Mus musculus: one gene and its partner. The protein of the gene in region 1 interacts with the protein of each later gene in a biochemical or structural test. Links are inferred from orthologs where the notes say so. Each region holds a gene or a part of one and is shown on either strand. Other genes may lie near its edges.

The links.
Region 2: the proteins of Hdac3 (region 1) and Nr2c1 form a complex in vitro, tested with the Homo sapiens proteins (4 studies listed by BioGRID). The link is inferred for Mus musculus from reciprocal best matches to the Homo sapiens genes HDAC3 and NR2C1.

The regions. Positions count from the first base shown.
Region 1 is NC_000084.6:37,941,366-37,945,185, forward strand, and holds part of Hdac3 (histone deacetylase 3), read right to left. Parts: intron 3,661-3,820; coding exon 3,527-3,660; intron 2,845-3,526; coding exon 2,764-2,844; intron 2,413-2,763; exon of another isoform or gene 2,387-2,412; coding exon 2,313-2,386; intron 2,156-2,312; coding exon 2,091-2,155; intron 603-2,090; coding exon 513-602; intron 402-512; coding exon 343-401; intron 94-342; coding exon 14-93; intron 1-13. UniProt on the Homo sapiens protein: Histone deacetylase that catalyzes the deacetylation of lysine residues on the N-terminal part of the core histones (H2A, H2B, H3 and H4), and some other non-histone substrates.
Region 2 is NC_000076.6:94,168,123-94,171,942, forward strand, and holds part of Nr2c1 (nuclear receptor subfamily 2 group C member 1), read left to right. Parts: intron 1-2,926; coding exon 2,927-3,111; intron 3,112-3,820. UniProt on the Homo sapiens protein: Orphan nuclear receptor. Binds the IR7 element in the promoter of its own gene in an autoregulatory negative feedback mechanism. Primarily repressor of a broad range of genes.

The DNA of each region.
Region 1 (3,820 bases):
CCAAGCTGCTAACCTGGCGTGAGTTCTGATTCTCGATGCGGGTGCTGACATCTGGATGGAGTGTGAAATCTGGGGCAAAGTACTCGAAGTATTCTTAGAGATGAGAAGCAATTGGGAGAGGGGATGAACAAGAGTATGGCTGAGACACCAGAGTGAATCCCATGGCTTTCTGATCTCCTCTCCGAGGCCTGGTCCCCATGTGTAAGAGTATTTGCTCTGCTCTGAGCACAGGGATTTAGTCTGCAGAGCTACCAGAAGGTGCAATTTCCCTCCAAACAAGGTCATTCTGAGGACTGGTGAGAATGGTGTCCCCCTGTGGTGGCATCATGAAGTGGATCTTACCACTATAGGGAAGTTCCTCACTAATGGCCTCTTCTACCAGCAGAGATGTTTCATATGTCCTGAAACCAGCAAGCAGAGGGGTTTGGGTTGATGGCGTGGGCTGAAAGGACCACCCCTCCAATTTTAGGGAGTCTGTCGTGAACCACAGAGTAGTAGAACAGAACACTCACCAACACCGGGCAACATTTCGGACAGTGTAGCCACCACCTCCCAGTACCAGGAGAGGGATATTGAAACTCTTGACATATTCAACACATTCCCTGTTAGAAACAAGAGGACTAGGTAAATCTAAGACATGTGACCCCAGACATGACTGGAAATATTGTACAAAGACTTGACCAACAATATTTCTCTGTCATATTGTGTAGTATAACTCAAAGTTGCATTCTTTGTGTGTGACTACTTGTATAAACGGGTTTGTCTTCACATGTGTGCCAGTGCATGTGTGTCTGAGGATGTGTGCATGTATGTTCACACATGTATACAAGGGCTAGAAGACATTTTCATGTGTTGGCCTAAAGATACTAGCCACCTTTTTTTTTTTAACCTGGCACTTGCCAAGTAGGCTAAGCTGGCTGGCTACCAAGCCCTATGAATCTTCTGGTCTCTGCTTCACCAGGGCTGGGATTACAGATCATAAATGGGTGCCACCGGGCCTAGTGTTTTTACATGAGTTCTGGGATCAAACTCAAGTCTTCATTCTGTATAGCAAGCACTTTTACTGAGTGTGCTAGTCACCCTGTCCCCACCTGGCTCTGAGCTATATGCTACACACACACACACACACACACACACACACACACACACACACACACACACAAACACACAAATGAACAAATAAAAATACTAGCGTACTTTACTGTGTTGTGTCTCAGTGAACATTTTAAAATAAAGCACACCCTCACGGCCTTGCTTACTACTCTCCGCCACACCTGGCCTGCTACCCAACTACTCCCATCGGTGTCGCCACCAGAATGTCTGTTCTAAGCTTCAGGACATACCTTCATACCTCGTACTTCTCTCCATCAACACATGCCCTGCCCAAATAATGTGATTGGCTTCCTAACTGGCTGCCCACTACCCACCCTGACCCCAACTCCCACACCAACCCTTTCTTCATTTAGCAGTCAGAACAGTAACTCTCAAACTCATTGGACCCTGTCACTTCCCTGTTTAAGATCCTTCAACGGTTTTCTATCACCCATGGAAGACAGGGTCTAATAGCTCTGCACACTCTCAGCCTGGCCAGCTTATAGCACCTGCCTATGTTCTGGCCTCATAGGCTGTACTGTCTCTTGTCAAGACAGTAATTCTTTTTTACTTCGGTCTTAGGGCTTTGCACTGGCCCTTCACACTGCTTGGAGTAGGATTCTCTGTTCTCCTTTTACGGCTCACTCCTTAGTCTCCAGGTCTCCCATTTCACCTTCTCAGAAAACCTTTCCCAAAGCATGCTGTCTACTATACATTCCCAAGCCAGGTGTGGTGACCTGAGCTTGTAATCCCAGAATTTCAGAGGCTCAAGCAGGAGGGTCACAAGTTCAAAGCCAGCCTATGCCACACAGTGAGCCCTTAAATAAAACTGTACCATTAAAAAGTAGATTCCCTGTTGTTACCCTGTCTTATTTTTTCCCTCATTAGATTTTTGATTGTATGTATGTGTATCATATACACATATATATGCAATAATTAATAATAATAACAACAACAAATTACAACTTTAAATAACAACAAGAAGGAAGGCAACGCACCCATGTCCTCGAATGCTGAGATTGAAGCAGCCTAATCGATCACAGCCCAGGGAGTCAGCGCCACACTGCAAAAAGGAAAATCCCAAATGGCTACAGTAGCACGAATGCTCAGAACATCAGTGTCCTCTAGCGTCCTTCCTCACCAACTTAGGGAGCTTACGCTTCCTGATCTCCTTCCTGTAGCCCAGGCAAGTCCTCTTAGGGAGGTGCTAAGGGAGTTACCTGGAGCACGATGCACGTCGGCTGGTAGAAGTCCACCACCTGGCTGATGACTGGCTGGAAAAGGTGCTTGTAACCTGGGAGAGGGCCAAAGGTGGGCAACCTGGCACCCCAAGGGGATGGGGAGACAGGGAACAAAAGGAAAAAGGGGGTTGAGAGAGCATGTAGCCCAGGAAAGGGGCGACCCACAGAACCAACCACTGGTTCTGAACTTCTGGAGGGTGTTACAACTGCCAAGTTAAACACTAGCAACCTTCCTCCCAGAAGAATAAATGAACAAAACGTATACACACATAATATATGTCATACAAATTCCAAGGGTTCATGGTCCCTCTGAAGGCCATTCGTCCTTAAGGAAACCTGGCCCAACAATAGACAATACCAGGCAGAAGAGGTTAATTGAAAGAGAAGAAAAGGGGAGACGAGTGAGCAGAGAGAAGTCATCAGAACTTACTCTGGTCATCAATGCCATCTCGTAAGGGCACATTGAGACAATAGTAGCGGCCACTCTCTGCTCCAACTTCATACATGTCACCTACAGAAAAGAGAGCGCAGTGACCGTGCACAGGAAGTTCCCTCAACACAGCCGTTCCTCTGTGCCTTCTACCACCAAGGCTCCAGCAACCTGCATTCACTCAATACAGGGTCACAGCTATGTAACTCAGGATGGCCAGGAACTTGTTGCATTACCCAGGTTAGCTTTGAACTCTTAATTCGCCTGTCTCGGCCATCTGATTATTGGTATTATAGGTATGTACCTCCTTGTCTGGTTCAAAAAATTTTACTTAGCCGGGCATGGTGGCTCATGCCTTTAATCCCAGCACTCAAGAGGCAGAAGCCAGCCTGGTCTGTAGCAATAGACAAAGAATGAACATAAAAACTAGAATAAATACAACTAGCAGTGAGGACTCTAAGAAAAAGAGAAGGTGAGGTACCTGTTTGACTTAATGGAGTGGTCAGAAAGGTTTCTCTGCAGAAAGGACATAATACTTAAGACCAGAAGGCTAAGGAGTCAGTCATGGCAGAGAGCTGAAGGACAGCCAGGGGCAATGGCACATCCCTGGTCTCCCTAATTCAGCATGCTGATTATGGAGGATTCTGTACAGACACACACACACACACACACACACACACACACACACACACACACACACAAAGAGCTAAGGGGTACAAAAAAAAAACAAAAAACAAAAAACCACAGTAATTCTATTCCCTACCTGTTCCAGGAAAGAAGTAATTTCCGTATTTGTGGAAGGACACAGTCATGACCCGGTCAGTGAGGTAGAAGGCTTCCTGAACCCCGTCACCATGGTGGATGTCGATATCAATGTAGAGCACCCGAGGGTGGTACCTGGTGTGAGGACAGAGCCATGTTCTGAGGAAGAGGCTTATCACCCAGTCCTCTCCTCCCCAACACAATCTCTGGAATTATTTAGAGTCTGCCTCTGGCCAAGTCACTTGAAACCTCATCCCACCAGCTTCCTCCAGGCTAGAGCCTGGGGAGAAAGGGA
Region 2 (3,820 bases), on another chromosome or scaffold:
AAAGCAAAGGACATTTAAAACTGTTCCCAGTTTCTTTCATTTTAAAATAAATGTTATCTGAAAATTAACTTGGGGTAGATCCAAACCAAACAGAATGGAATACTGCCTGTAATCCCAGCAACTCGAAAGGTGATGACTACAAGGGTAGCCAGCCTGGGCTACACTCTGATTTGAGGATCATCTGTGCCCTATTGTGAACCCATCTGAAAAGGCAGAAGGATAGCACAGACTTCCTACCTCTATTCCTCTTATTTTTCCCTGCTAGATTTATTTGTGCCAGTACTTAAGATAGCTCCAAGTAAAACTCCTGGAGGCTGGAGAGATGGCTCAGAAGTTATAAGCACTGGCTGCTCTTCCTGAAGTCCTAAGTTCAATTCCCAGCATCCACATGGTGGCTTACAATGATCTATAATGAGATGCCCTCTTCTGGCCTGCAGGCATATATGCAGGCAGAATGCTGTATACATACATACATACATACATACATACATACATATATATACATACATACATACATACATACATACATATATACATACATACATACATCTTTTAAAAAAAAAAAGAAACTCTTGGTGTACTAATCAAAACATTCATTTGAGCGTCAGGATTATAGACAGCCACCAACCTTCCTGAGCATGCTGTGGATGCGGGGAGCTGGGGGGATCAGAGTAGGACGAGATTGCCTGTGCTTTCAGATTACACAACCCAAGTTATCTAGAGTCCCTTAAGACTGGAGCAGATCTTCATTTGTCACAGGGTCTAAAGAAAAGACATGCACGTGCGCGTACACACACACACACACACACACACACACACACACACACACGCGCGCGCGCGCGCGCTTGTGTGGGGACCCTCATGTTCTTTAAGGCCAAAGGGTATGTACTGCTGTTTATTGCTGTCCGCCTTATTCCCTTGACACAGAGTCTTTCCGAACCCAGAGTCAGATGTCCCATTGGGTTAGCAGCCAGTGAGTCCCAGCAGTCCTTCATCTTTGTCTCCCCCAAGTGTCACGATTACAGAACACACGTGATTGTGTGTGTGTGTGTGTGTGTGTGTGTGTGTGTGTGTGTCCTGGGGATCTGAACTCAGACCTTTGTGTTACACAGCAGCCACTGTTGCCCACTAAGCCATCTCCCCAGATCAAAAAGCTTTCTTTATTTAGATAAAATGTGGAAATTTTCTATAGTCTTCAAAAACTGTATGAGAAGAAGAAAATATTCCCTAAAGAGATTATTTTTACATCTATTTGTATTTACTCTGTGTGTGTGTGTGTGTTTGTGTATTCACCACAACATACATGAAGGTCAGAGGATAGCTTTCTGGGGTCAGTGCTCCCTTTCCATCATGAGGGTGCTCCCTTTCCATCATGTGGGATTTGGGCCTTAAACTCAAGTCCCCATTGTTAGTGGCAAGTGCTTTGACTCCGAGCAGTCTCGCTGGCCCTGAGAAGATGTGAGGGTGCTTGTGGGAAGACGTTCTTCTCCCTGCACTCGGCTCTGGCTCTGCAGCACTCAGCCCCACAGTACTGAGGTGACCATCATTCAGTGGAAGGATATATGTTGTACAACATGAGGTTCTTGGTTCAATCCCAGCACCCAAAAGTGTAATGCTAAGCCCTTAAAGCACTGATGCGTGTGCCTGGCACCAAAGGAATTTAATAAACTGAAGCATTTGGTATATTAAAACCTTTGAATTGGAAATATTTCCAAAACCTCACGTATCACATTGAGAAGTTGCCGTGTGTCAGCTCCTTGCCTTTAAGATTGGGAGCTGAAAGGAAGGAAAAGGAAGAGTGGCCCTGCTCTTCCCGTGCAGCGACTTTAGCTGGAGTATGGTAGACAGACCGCCACTGACAAAATGGGGCAGCCGATGATGCATTTAGATACCAGACCAGATTGTTCGGTAAGACGTTTTGAGGGGCTAGGAAGATGGCTAGGAAGATGGCCCAGTGGGTAGGAGCAGAGACGGCTCTTACAGAGGATCAGAACTCATTTCCTAGCCTTTGCCAGAGGCGGCTCATGATGAACTCCACCTCCTGCGGATTCAGTGCTATTTGCTGGCCTCAAGCACCAGCAGTCATGAATATTACCACACATAGACACCGGTAAATACACATTTTGTAAGAAATAAAACTAAATCTTTGGTCCTGGAGAGATGAGACAGCTATAAGGTTAAGAGGTTTCACTGCTCTGTGAAAGACCCATGTTCAGTTCCCAGCACCCACATGACAGCGTGCAACCATCCATAACTCCAGTTCCAGGGGATCCAGTGCCCTCTGTTGACCTCTGAGGGCACCAGGCTTCATGTGGTGAACAGACATACATGCAGTCAAAACACCCATACACATAAAATTAAAATTGTTTTAATCATAAAGAAAATTTGGTCATTTTAATAATAATGCTAAAAAGAATTTGAATTTTTACCTAATTTAATATCTTTTTATAGAGAAAGCAACTATGACTTAGAATAGCTAGTAAGTATAGTAGTATAATTTTTCTTTTAAACTTTTATACAATTTTTTAAGAACTTGTATCTATTTTAAAGCCTGTATTTTCTTCAAGAGTCAGTTAGTTTCTCCCTCCCTCCCTCCCTCCCTCCCTCCCTCCCTCCCTCCCTCCCTCCCTCCCTCTCTCTCTCCCTCTCTCTCCCTCTTTCTCTTTCTCAGGGCAGGCTCTTACTCTATAGTCCAGCAAAGTCTGGAATTCACTATGTAACCCACGCTGGCCTTGAATTTGTGGCAATCCTTCTGCCTCAGCCTTGTGAGTTTTGGGGATTACAGAAACAAGCTGCTGTATTCATCAATTTAATTTGCTAATATGCTTTTCTTTTAGTATTTCATGATCTAGAATTTGATACTTAAGGTTTTAAAGCATATCTGTCCCACCTTGCAAATTTTTAGTGCTTTCTTCTTTTCTTAAAGGCTGAATCGTGTCAGGGAGACTTAAGCACATTGGCCAGTGTGGTCACATCATTAGCGAATCTCGGCAAAGCTAAAGACCTTTCTCACTGCGGTGGGGATATGCCTGTGGTGCAGAGCTTACGCAATGGGGATACATCCTTCGGTGCTTTTCATCATGATATTCAGACCAATGGGGATGTTTCAAGGTAGGATCCGTGTGGTCTCATCTTCCAAGTCTTATTTTAGTTGACCAAAATGCCTTTGCATTAAATCTATAAAAGTTTCTGAAAACAGTATTGCTATAAGACTTGAAAAAGGTAAGACAGTGTAAGGTTTAACTGAAAATCTGCTGTTAGTACAACATGGCCAACACATTCCATTCTGAGTTTCACGAGCCCTGAATGTAAAATTAGTGCTGAAGTCTGGCATAGATGATTTGTATATGTAGGGATAAGTGTGAGGATTTCTCTCAGACTTGAAGAGATTGTGATTTCTTGGTAGTACGGTAGTATGCAATAATCCAAAGTACACTTACTGAGTTTAACTTGTTGATTTTTGAAACAGTGCCAAAGGTCAGTGCAATCCAGCAGTCTGTCTGTCATACAAGACAGCTGTTTTCTGAAGCATGCTTAGTTGTTTTCTTGTTTTGTGTGTGCACACCTCTCTCAGACAGTGACACTGGAGGTGGGTTCCAGGGCCTCCTGTGAACTACACAAGCCTTCTACCTTTGAGCCATAACCCTTCCCTATTTGCCAAAGAATTTTTAGGCTTAAACTTCCCTCTCTGTAGTCCTTGGTACTAAACCCAGGGCCTAATGCGTGCTAGACAGCCTACCCTTGTGCTATTCCCACAGTCCCTTGACTTAAATCTCAACTCTGGAATTTTGCATAAGAATTTCATGTTATTGTTGGAGAT